Macaca fascicularis: one gene and its partners. The protein of the gene in region 1 interacts with the protein of each later gene in a pairwise test. Links are inferred from orthologs where the notes say so. Each region holds a gene or a part of one and is shown on either strand. Other genes may lie near its edges.

The links. The genes of interacting proteins can lie anywhere in the genome.
Region 2: the proteins of PPP3CA (region 1) and AKAP5 interact in binary tests that used the Homo sapiens proteins (3 or more experiments, as listed by UniProt). The link is inferred for Macaca fascicularis from reciprocal best matches to the Homo sapiens genes PPP3CA and AKAP5.
Region 3: the proteins of PPP3CA (region 1) and C20H16orf74 interact in binary tests that used the Homo sapiens proteins (3 or more experiments, as listed by UniProt). The two-hybrid records come from large-scale screens. The link is inferred for Macaca fascicularis from reciprocal best matches to the Homo sapiens genes PPP3CA and C16orf74.

What each region holds. Positions count from the first base shown.
Region 1 is NC_088379.1:106,755,464-106,759,104, reverse strand, and holds part of PPP3CA (protein phosphatase 3 catalytic subunit alpha), read left to right. Parts: intron 1-1,520; coding exon 1,521-1,632; intron 1,633-2,727; coding exon 2,728-2,873; intron 2,874-3,641. UniProt on the Homo sapiens protein: Calcium-dependent, calmodulin-stimulated protein phosphatase which plays an essential role in the transduction of intracellular Ca(2+)-mediated signals. Many of the substrates contain a PxIxIT motif and/or a LxVP motif.
Region 2 is NC_088381.1:132,280,740-132,284,897, forward strand, and holds the start of AKAP5 (A-kinase anchor protein 5), read left to right. Parts: upstream 1-1,334; 5' UTR 1,335-1,423; intron 1,424-4,158. UniProt on the Homo sapiens protein: Multivalent scaffold protein that anchors the cAMP-dependent protein kinase/PKA to cytoskeletal and/or organelle-associated proteins, targeting the signal carried by cAMP to specific intracellular effectors.
Region 3 is NC_088394.1:81,645,607-81,650,037, forward strand, and holds the start of C20H16orf74 (uncharacterized protein C16orf74 homolog), read right to left. Parts: upstream 2,825-4,431; 5' UTR 2,616-2,824; intron 1,911-2,615; 5' UTR 1,803-1,910; intron 1,671-1,802; exon of another isoform or gene 1,615-1,670; intron 1-1,614.

The DNA.
Region 1 (3,641 bases):
ATGATGCTTTAAGGATCGCTTGTACAGGCCATTTGGTCAACTTTTCAGACATATTAATATCATTAGTCATGTGAACTGTAGCTAATAACTATAATCAGAAAGTGGTAATTAGAAACTTAAAGTAACATATATAATTTAATGTCAACCTATTATTTTGTTTACTTCAATCATAATTACATAGAGATAATATCTTGCTTGAACAACAAAATACAAACATTTGTTCTGATAATTAGTATTTTCTCCAAAACTTGGGCTGTGTAGTCAAACATAATTAGTTTTCACTCATTTCATAAATTATCATATAAACTAAGAGAGATGATTACTCTTTACAAGTAGTACTACAAATAAATTGTCAGCAGCTTTTCCCTATAGATATTATCCAGGATATCTACTGTATTGGAAAGCCAATTATTAATGTATAAATCTCACTGATTTTAGTTTCAGATTTTAGTAACCAGAATTAGACTTGTCTCAATATTTTTGTAGTTTTTGTATCTTCTTAGCTTCACTTTGGGAATGCAGGTTTTATGAGGATAAAAGAGCATACTTGCTTTTCAAAGCATGGTTTTCTGTTGCCTATGGATTCTTAACAAATGTCAGTTGATGATAACAAATTACTGATGTTAATACTTGAGTATTTCAGTTGACTTAATGCTCATTCCAGGAAGACTGTGTCAAATGTAGATGTATTCCCAACTTGGTGAATGCATAATTGACCATCATTTTTACAGACTGCAATGCCCAAGTAACTAAGTTGAGAGTCTTAAGGTATATGAAGTGTATCCCATAGCTTTTGGCACAATATGATTAATGATTAATAAGTAAAATAAAGTGACTTCTCTTTATAAAGCTAATTATTTTTAAAAATCAGGTAACAGAAATGGAAGGATTGAAAAGATAAAGTACGACCAAATGAGGAGGCAAAGCACTGACAAGCTCAGCCTAACTTGAACTGCATCTCTATTTTCTATTACTTTTCCTCATCTCTAGCTCCCTGCCTCCTTCTCTCCCAACATCTTGTCTTTTCTGTCAGTGTCTTTGGTATATAAATCTTAAGTTTTTGATTTATGTATATATTTGATTAAACTGAAGGTGGTCAGGGAATCTCACTACATATACCAGTATTTCTTCTCATCCTTTTACACCAGCATATTTTTATTTCTAGTATATTTTAGTTAAGTTTCTTCCTCTTCCTTTTTTTTTTTTTTTTTTTTTTTTTTACTCCCGATCTCCTCAGGCCACATAATTCTCCTTCTGTTGACTATATGTAATCCATTGTTTTCTTGTGGTATATGATCTTCAGTGTGTGTATGTATGTTTTAGGTGTAGATGGACCTGGCTTTTTACCAAAGTAATGTTTCCTGTTTGATTGTCAGTATCTTCTCTACCAAGGTCCAGCCTTTTGGGGGACTTTTGGTCATGGTAATACATTTTATTCATGTCTTTATGATATGTGAGCAATGAAATACATAGGTATTAAGGAAAAATATTTATTTTCATATGATTTTTACTTTTCCCAGTGTGTGCTGTATTTGTGGGCCTTGAAAATTCTTTACCCCAAAACACTGTTTTTACTTCGTGGAAATCATGAATGTAGACATCTAACAGAGTATTTCACATTTAAACAAGAATGTAAGTATACTTCAGTCTCCTTTCTTTAACACTATATACGCTAAACAGTAATTTTAATCAGTACTAAGATACATACAATATAATCCATTGCCTAAAAGTCAAAAACTTAAAGTGACACTTTTTGATCTTATCCTATATTTCTTTCAAACCATGGACATTTATGAGAATTCAGAATTTCTTTTTAAATTAGAACTTCTTTATAAAGTGATTGAAAAATTTGAATTAAAATTTGATATAATTTATCCTAAGAAACAAATGATTTAGGGATACTACTGTTTGGAACACTAATTCTACCCATTAATCTCGCATTACTCAAGAAACGCAAATGGAGGGCAAATTCAACCTATGCCTCTGTTTTGGACCCAATAAATAAATACTAGCTTCTAGTGAATCTTATAAAACTGAAGATGATGTCATTCTTTAGACATAGACAGTAGGAGTGTGGAGTGCTTTTTTCAATTTCTTTTTCCCCCTTACAATTTTTCTTACTATTCGCTGAATCTTACAAAGGTATAAAATCTTACATTTTTGTTTTATATATAAATACAATTAAATGGAAGAGCAGGGAATCTCTCTATACATATCAATATTTTTCTCTTTCATTTAGTCCTATATTCAGTGGAGCATAAAGACTTATCCTCTTCAAACATTAGATGTAAGTCATGGGAAAAGCAATGTGCAGTGAGATAGAAGCAGCTTTAGAAAATGTCTTGCCATCTGCTTTTCTACAAAATCATTAAGGAATATCAAGCAGCTTTATGGCTGTTTTTCTATTGGTCTTCCAGTTGTTCAGTTACATTTTTTTGGTGAGACATCTGCATATAAATAGCCAGAATGTATATAAAAATTCTCTTGCTATACAAAAAGTTATGAAAATTATAAAATATGAATGAATGACAAAAACAGGAAATGCTAGATATAAAAGATTAATATGTTACTTTCAAAACATCTTAATTATATTTTGGAATTTTGCAGTATGTGCCTTTATGTTAATAATATGGTCCTGGCAAGAAAACTTCTTAAAAAACCGAAACTATTTAAGTGAAATTATCCTGCTTATAAATCATAAGTATTTTTTTTAATCACTTCTAAAAGGTAAAATAAAGTATTCAGAACGCGTATATGACGCCTGTATGGATGCCTTTGACTGCCTTCCCTTGGCTGCCCTGATGAACCAACAGTTCCTGTGTGTACATGGTGGCTTGTCTCCAGAGATTAACACCTTAGATGATATCAGAAAAGTAAGTTTTGTTATTTTCCCAGTCTAATCATTTTGTGCGCTACAGTAAAAAATAGAAGACATTAATTATCCTGTCTTTATCACTAACTTTTTCCTTTTGAGTTAAAATGATTTAAAGTGGTCATGAATCTCTCCTTTGTGTTAAATTTTTATCTAGAAAGGAAGATATATTTATACTTGGAAAAGTTTTTATCTCTTCAGCCTCAGAGTTGGTCTTACCATCTGACATGTGTCTCTGGAAATATAAAATATTTGACCTCTAAAAAAATATGCCTTATCATTTCCATTTGGCTTTTTTCAAACAAATCATTGTATAGTCATGATGTATTATGCTAGAAATGTTGCTTTGCCCTTGGGAAAATATTGTAACATAACCGTTAAACTATGTTCATTTTATGGTTTTTTAAAAATCTAGTATTTGTTACAACTTGAAACTTTTAAGTAGCAATCTAACAAGGACAATGATAATATTCTATTAATTTTATTGAGTGGATAGGTGAAAAACTGTACTTTTTAAGAAGTATTTGTAGGAAGTTTTTAAGAAGTACTCCAGTTTCGCATTGGCTATTAACAGTTTTTTAAATCAGCAAAAAGATGAGTTACATTGAATGTGGAAGTGGATTATGTCTCTTTCTTAAATAAATCTAATAACATGGGATAGTTTTATGTGGTACAATAGACAATCTTTTATTTCTTTGGTTATGTTTCTAACTCTGATGATTGCAATGATGTAAGGGAAAAAATAGAGAGTAATAAAAAATCTCAGTGT
Region 2 (4,158 bases), on another chromosome or scaffold:
AAAACATTTCCAAAAAAACATACAAAAATGGACACCTGACATCTACACTCCCTAAGATCGTGATCCTCTTGAAGAAAGGAGATGAACGCGGCTGCTTTTCAGTAGTTCTTCACTGCACCTTACCAGGTTCTTCATCTGGATGCTATGCTGTGAGGGCCTGAGGAGGAGGCTGGGATTGTGATGGATCCTACTGGATTTTACAGCTGGAGCTCCCAGGAATGCCCTCATAGGGAATGTCCTGAAGGGAATCATGGGTAACTTGTAAGCTACCTCAACTTATTTTTGGAACTATGTAAGATATAAGATGGATGGAGCTGGGTTGCCGTGCCTTTCTCGCCTTGTCCGCATAGAGATGCAGCTGCTCCTGCAGGCCAAAGTTCTGCACGAATCACCTCCACCTGCTTCCCACTGGGAGACAAAGGTCTGAGAGCCTGTTTAGCGATGAACCACGATGATCTTTTTTTTTTTTTTTTTTTTTTGAGACGGAGTCTCGCTCTGTCGCCCAGGCTGGAGTGCAGTGGCCGGATCTCAGCTCACTGCAAGCTCCGCCTCCCGGGTTTACGCCATTCTCCTGCCTCAGCCTCCCGAGTAGCTGGGACTACAGGCGCCCACCACCTCGCCCGGCTACTTTTTTTTTGTATTTTTTAGTAGAGACGGGGTTTCACCGTGTTAGCCAGGATGGTCTCAATCTCCTGACCTCGTGATCCGCCCGTCTCCGCCTCCCAAAGTGCTGGGATTACAGCCTTGAGCCACCGCGCCCGGCCTACGATGATCTTATACTCAAGTCACTCCTGAGAAAGTCGGGTTTCTTTCTGTTTCCATTTCTATATGTAATTTTCGCTTCAAACAAAAATGACCTCGCTATTCCATACACAGTTTTGAATCCTGCTTTTAAAATGCGATGTCTGCCTTGTCTTTAAATATTCTGAGGGGTAGGAGAGGACATGTGTAACAGGACTGTCTATAATTTGAAACTGGACCTCACCATTTAGCGTCTCAGAAACGCGGGGTTCATTGCCCTGGCCGCTCCCCGCCTTCCCTCCGCCCCCCACCCCTCCCCGAGCCTTCGGCTGGCTCTCGCGGTCCCCGCCTCGGCGATAATGTAGTCTGGCGGCGGAGATTGGCGCCCAGGCGGAGCACGGTGGCCTTCCCCGCGGCAGGCAGGCTGCTGCTGCAGGTGGGTCCCGGCTTCCGTGCCGCCCCCCGCCTCCCGCGTCGCCCCGCCCCTGCCCGCCCGCTCGGCTCCGCTCCGCTCGCATTGGCTCTGCGGGCTGTCTGTCCCCGCGCGGTGGGGAGGGGGCGCACCCGGCGGCGGGCTCTGCAGAGGGCGCCTTGCTTCGGCTCCCTGGAGGCCTGGGCGCCGGGCCCCGCGAGCGCGCCGCCACCTTGGGAGCAGTGTTGGCCAAGGACCCCGACGCCTTACGTGAGTAAAGGCAGGGCGGGGAGCCTGCTGGAGAGGAGGGTCGGGGGCAGTGTCCGGTCAGCGGACCGCGGAGTGGGCAAGAGGCGCCCACTGGACATGGGGGATGTGAGCCCCCTGAGGTGCTGGGAGTAAGAACGCGGGAGGTCGCTTGTCCGCAGGAATCCGCGGCCAGGACGACCCTCATCAGGTCTGCCCACCTATCACCTTCGCGTTACAGCTTGTCTTAGAAGCATGGGTTGCCGGTGGCTTTTTTCCTTCTTTATCCCTCTTTGCGAAATGTGATTCTGGGTTTCTGGCCATTACATTATAATTCTGCAGACAGCTTGAAGCTGGGTTATCTGTTCCACGCCCCCGGCATTTTCCTTTTTGAGTACTTTATCCTGCGCTCTGTCTCCTGCCATAAGGGGCGTCAAGCCAGAATTCGAGATTCCTTCCTCCAGGAGGAACCTTCGTGGTCCATATCTGGTGCTGGGAAAGATGCATTGCTTTCCTCGGGTAGTGGATGTTCTTTGCTGCTTAAGGGAAAAAGGAAAGGGAGTGTTTTCTGTGACATGAGACTTGAAATTCTATCAGGAAATGAGCACAGGGACTTTAAGATTTCCTGAGGCGATAAAGCTACCCTTGCTGGTTAAGAGCGAATCCTTTGCAGTCTGACATTCTGCAAAGTTTTAATGTCTACAGACTGCATTATTTTCCCCCTTCAGTTAAGTTTCTGTTTGGGCATTCGTTTTATTTCTAGTGTGTGAGACACATTCAAGTGAGCTTCTCAAACCATTGTCTTTGCGCAATCCACGTTAGTTTCAAATGATACACTCCTGAACATCTCATTTCAATATTTCTATTATGTGGTAATACAGCCTCTGCTTAACAAAAGTGCTCAGGTGTTGAAAACTCACAAGAGGTGAGAAGATTTAAACAGAGTTATCAGCTGAGGTTCTAGTGCTCACTGAAACATAAATGTGAGGAGAAACACTGTCAAATGTCCATATTTTAGTTCCGTCATTGTTCTAGAATGACTTTATCTTTCTGTTAGAGGCATACAGTATGAAACACCCAACCTAAGAGAATATTTACTTAGATCATAAACTGATTTTCAGGGTTCCAGTTCTTTCCACAGTTCATAAAATTATGGGTTACCCACATGAAACTTCAGTGAAGGATTTACATAAAAACAATATAAAGAATGAGTCCCTTTGCTTATTTTAGGGCATCCACCCACTAAAATTCATAGGATCTTTGTTAGATAATCACTTCCCATTTCCATTCTTTGGTGCCATCATACCATTCTGAGGATTAAATTTTCAATACACCTTTGTATTATCTAACAGTTTGCCAATTGCATAGTTTATCAACCTATTTTTGGCTGTTAAATTAGTTCCTGAACCGAAAAAGCAAAATATAAAGAATTTCTTTTTTTTTTTTTTTTTGAGACTGAGTCTGGCTCTGTCGCCCAGGCTGGAGTGCAGTGGCCGGATCTCAGCTCACTGCAAGCTCCGCCTCCCGGGTTTACGCCATTCTCCTGCCTCAGCCTCCGGAGTAGCTGGGACCACAGGCGCCTGCCACCTCGCCCGGCTAGTTTTTTGTATTTTTTAGTAGAGACGGGGTTTCACCGTGTTAGCCAGGATGGTCTCGATCTCCTGACCTTGTGATCCGCCCGTCTCAGCCTCCCAAAGTGCTGGGATTACAGGCTTGAGCCACCGTGCCCGGCTTAAAGAATTTCAAAAGCTTGGTTTTCAAATAACAAGAACTCAGACTACTCTTGGTTCAATTATGAGTTGATAAGTACCTTGTGATTAAATGACCATTAATCAATTTTTAAATTTTTTTACTAATGAATATACTGCAGATTAGTATCCCCAAACAATCCATTTTCTGATGAAACTCTTAAAGCCCAGTTTCAGAACATAAGCTTTAAGCAACAAGCAATCTTTTGTTTAATCTGAGCTCTGTTACAGCTCTGCCTTAATCTCAGCCAAATTGCTTCATCTGTAGATGGTGATACCACCATCTTTGTAATACTGTGGTGAGGATTACAGATGTATGTAAAAGTGTGTGCACCGCCTAATACCCAAGAATTGCTCAATAAATGTCAGCTATTGTTACTCTTACTGACCTCCAACTATGTGCAGATTATGGTGGAAACATGTGATACAGCAAATACAGTACTTAAATGAAAATGTCAAAATTATACAACTAATTTAAGAGTGGGAAATGACAGTAATGCTAAATTTTCCTAAGAATATGTATGAAAAGTAGCACTTCCTTGATGGAACATACATTTTTAGAACAGAAACCTTATGTTATAATGGAAAAACTAGAGAGTCAAAGTCTCTAGTTCTAACTCTGGCTATGACCTTATCTAGCTGCATGGCTTTTAACAAGACAATTGCTCCCCTCTGGAGTTCAGTTTTGTCATCTGGCTGGATTTGAGTAATCTCAAATAATCTCTAAAGTCCTTTGCAGCTTTAAAATTATTTATTGAGTGTGATAAAAAATACATTAGCTTGTTTTTCATCCTGCACTTCATTTTTTGTTCTTCCTGTTATTTGCTTAATTTGCACTTTAGAGCCATAAGCAATTCACACAGACAACACAACTAAAGAACTAATAATATCAGACTTGCAGGGTAATCCAAAATGAAGTTTCAACAAAGAGGATAAAACAATAGAATCACATTGAACTCTTTAATAGGGCCAAAGTAAACCCCAACGTTTATTCTCCAGTCATTTCATTAT
Region 3 (4,431 bases), on another chromosome or scaffold:
ACCAACAGGGTGAAACCCCATATCTATTAAAAATACAAAAATTAGCCAGGCATGGTGGCATGCGCATGTAATCCCAGCTACTCAGGAGGCTGAGGCAGGAGAATCGCTTGAGCCTGGGAGGCAGAGGTTGCAGTGAGCCGAGATCACGCCACTGCACTCCAGCCTGGGCAACAGAGCAAGACTCCATCTGAAAAAACAACAAAAAAACCTCAAAAGAGTTATTATCTAAAGACCTGGAACCAATAGAAAGGAATGTCTGGGTTACCATAAGGGGTTTGGCTTGAGAGAGAATAGATTGTACATGTTTCTTATCAGACTTAAAGGAACTCTCCTATTAATCTGAAGGTCTGCACTGATGTTAATGCTGGTCAGCTGGGCCTGAATTTCAAAAAGGAAGAGAGTATAATGAGGCATGTCTGACCCCACTTCCCATCATGGCCTGAACTAGCTTTTCAGGTTAACTTTGGAATGCCCTTAGCCAAGGGGAGTGATCCACTCAGATGATTGAGAGACTTCAGGTTTTTCGTTTTGTGTGTGTTTTTTGTTTTTTTGTTTTTTGTTTTTTTTTGTTTTTGGTTTACAACCTCTTACTAATTTTGTTTGTTTGTTTTTTTGTTTTAGAGAAAGGAGTCTCACTATGTTGCCCAGGTTGGTCTCAAACTCCTGGCCTCAAGTGATGCTCTTGCCTCATCCTCCCAGCACACTGGGATCACAGGTGTGAGCCACTGTGCCTGGGCCCCATCATTACTTACTAATCTTTTTAATGATGGGGGATTATTCTCAGCAGGCCCAGAGGCCTAGCCTGGCTACCACTGTAGGTCAGAGCAATTCAGTACCATGGCTCAGGGTTCCAGCCCTGGCCTTGCCATTTTCTAGCCATGTGACCTTGCGTCAGTCACTTTGCCTTTACAAACTTCTGTTTCCTCATTTTTATTTTTTAATTTTTTGGGTTTTTTTTTTTTTTTTTTTTTTTTTTAAGAGACAGGGTCTCCCTCTGTTGCCCAGGCTGGAATGCAGTGGTGTGATCATAGCTCACTGTAGCCTCAACTTCTTAGGCTTAAGGAATCCTCTTATCTCAGCCTCCTAAGTAGTTGGGACTACAGGTATGCACCACACCCAGCTAATTTAAAAATTTGGTGTAGCTGGGCGGGGTGGGGGTGGGGGGCGTCTCACTATGTTGCCCAGGCTGGTCTCAAACTCCTGGCCTCAAGCAGTCCTCCTGCTTTGGCCTCCCAAAGTACTGCAATTACAGGCGTGAGCCACTGTGCCTGGCCCTGCTTCCTCATCTTTAAAACGGGGCTGACAGTATTTGGTTGGAGAGTTGGTCAGGGGATTAAAACAGAAAACGCAGGGTCTGGTGCACGAGGAGTGCTCGGTAAGCATGAAATATCACTGCTCTCTTTTTCAGTGTCCACTGACGCGACGCTCCCAAGTCTCTAGAGGTGACCTACACCTTGGGCTGGGAAAATACACCCTACGTGGGTCTGGGGTGCACCCCACCGGCATGGGAAGGCGCTTCCAGGGAGAGGAGATTAGGTGGTGAGCTTTCAGCCTCCTTGGGGCTGGCAGAGGGATTAAGTGTTTCCATAAATACACGGCCTCCTCCCGTCCGCAGGACCCGGTCCCCAGCGGTGGGGGCGCAGAACCCAAGGAGGGCGTGGCCTGCACAGGTGAGGGTGCTTTTTGGAGTTAACCCAGCCCAGGACAGGGGACTTCCCACAGCGTTGGGTGGGTGGGGTCTAGGCAGGAAACGCCGGAGCCTGTGACTCAGGGTATGCCTCTCAGAGCCTCAGTTTCCTCACCTGTACATTGAGGCGTTCGTTCCCCGAGGCCTGCACTACCTCCGAAGTGCCTTTGCCTCGCAGCCTTCCCTTCCTCCCTCTTCCTCCGGGCTCCAAAGTCTGTCCAGCCTGCACAGATTTTCCCTTGATCCCATCTGGGCCCCGCAGCCAGAGGCGGTCTGAGAGAAGTCCCAGCTGCCCTCGGACCCCGCCCTCCGCCTACCCCTGGGGGGAGCTGCGGGTGCCCCTTTTTACTGAGGCCTCCCCCAGTTCCGCCCGACCGCAGCCAGCCAGGAGAAGGCGCGCGTGCGTCCACACGGGTCGCCCTTTGCGGTTGCAAACATGCTTTGATGCCCTGGGAGCGCAGGGGGGCCCCTGAGTGAGGCGGTTCATAAATAATAGATTTGGAAATACTCGATAGAGGGGAAATGGTTCCTCGGGAGGCCTCCTGCCCCCGCCCCCCGCTGGGCTGCCTTCCAGCTCTCAGGAATGGCATTCTGGTCCATTCCCAAGGAACTCGTGACGGTGCGGGGTGGCCGGTGGGGAGTGGGGGCCAGAGGCTTCCGCGCGGGGACACACCCCCACCGCCGGTGCAAGTTGCACAGCGCCGCCAGAGCCGGGCCAAGTTTCCTAAAGCCTGTGTCTTCGCAGCAAAGTCTACAAGAAGTTGGGGGGATGCCCGGGCCCGCGTGGGTCCCCCACCGCCCCCCGAGCCGCGCCCCTGCAGCGGCTGGAGCTTGCGGGGCGTGGACGCCGCCCGGCAGGGGCCGCGTTGCTCGAGGAAGCCGGGCGTCCAGGAGAAGGGGCGGCGGGCACGAGGCGCGGGGCACTCACCGCTTCCTTCCTGGTGGGCTCACTGCGGAGCCGCGCCCGGGGCGCGCGAGGCCCGCCCGGGCGCTGGTGGTGGCGGCGGCGGTCTGGCTCGGGGGGCCGCGGCGACGAGCCTGCAAGAGAGAGCAGCGGGGGTCATGGCCCGGCCGGCGCTCGGGCCGCCGCGCGCCTCCCGCGGTCCCGCCCCGCTCCTGGAGGGCGGCGCTGACTGCAGCCGCCGGGCCGCGGGCGCCAGGATTGCACGGGCCGGGCGCGGGGCGGAGCGGGCCCGCCCGCCGTCTCCCTGGGGAGCGTGCCAGGACCCGCCCGGCGCCCTCGGCGGCGGTCCCGACCCCTCGCTGCTCGCCTGTTTCCTCCCGCTAGGCCCTGGGAGGTCCCGGGGCAAGTTTGGGCTCCCCACCGTGCGCCCCTCTCCGGGGCTGTGTGCCGGGCTCCCTGCGGCCGTGCACCCCAGCCCTGGGTGGTGAAAAGAGGCACCAGGGTTCCTCCCATACTGGAGGGCCCGGCTCCAGTGAACCTCGCTGCCCGGATGCGAAGAGGGGAGGCGAGGACAAGAAGCTCCCCCGCCCCATCTCGCCGTCTGCAGCCGCCCTCCTCTGGTGCAGGACCCCAGGCACTGGTATACAGTGCCCCTTCCCTGTGGCTCCGGCTGTGGGGGTTCCCTTTTGCTCTCCAAGCAAGCCTTTGCACCCCACTTTCGGGGTGAACCTGGGGTTGCACCCTACAAGGAGGTCAGGGCTTGCCTTCTGACCCCCCGGGAAGCTTCAGGTGTTTGGCGATGACCTTGATAAGCTTCAGGGAGAGGAATCGCCCAGCTCCCCACGGTGTGGACACAGAGGTCTTTTGGCCAGATGGGCTTCTTAGGAGGCACACTCCCTCCATCAGCCCTACCTGTGTGGAGGCCTCTGCAGACACCTGCCCAGTGGGGCAGGAGGAACAGAAAGATGCCTGCCCTGTGCTTTCCATGTCATTGTTACAAGCCTGTGGTACCCTCTCCACCCTACAAGCCCACGGTCTCCACACCCCGTGCCCTATATATTTCTGGAGGCTTAGAAGGGGAAACTGAGTCACGGAGCAGGAAAGTGACATTCCTTTGGTGAATGTGGCAAAGAGTTGCAGGAAATGGAGTCATCGTCCTAGCCGTGTGCTGTTGCTTGAGTCATTCCTAAAAATGGAGCGATCTTTAGATTCCCCTGACCTTATAGAGTCCAGACCGACAGGCAGGAAATGTATCATGTCCCCCACTCCCCCGCCTCTAACAAAGAGAAGGGGCAGGACGTTCCTTCCACTCGTCCACCCTCCAGAGGCAGGATGGGACCTGCTGCTGGCCGGTGCTGGGGTGGTGGGCGTGCCCATCAAAGCTGTTGCCCCAACTGCTGGGCTGGGGGAGGCCTGTGCAGGTGGCTGTCTGCTGAGGGCACATCCCTGGGGAGGGGCTAGAAAGCCAGGAAGAGCTCAGAGACTTCAGGGCAGGATGGGGAGGGGGCTCAACAAGCTGGCTGTGGGCAAATCATCATGCCTGGCTGTGTGCCGTCCCTTCGCTGGGTGTGGGGAGGCAGGGACCAGACCTAGGCTCCTGAGGAACTGAGATGGACAAGCCTAGGCAACTAAGAATGAAGGCTCCGAGACCCGACGGCACAGTGTCTCCCTCTGTCAGTCACCTCCCAGCCCAGCTGTGCCTGCCCTGGAGCCAGGTTCCCTTTCGTGATTGTGCAGATTTGATTCATATCTATCTCCCCTGCACTGCCAGTTCCTGCCCTTCCCAGGGACTCCCTGCGTCCCAGCCCCTCGGGAGTCAGCGGGTCCCTGGGGAAGTGCA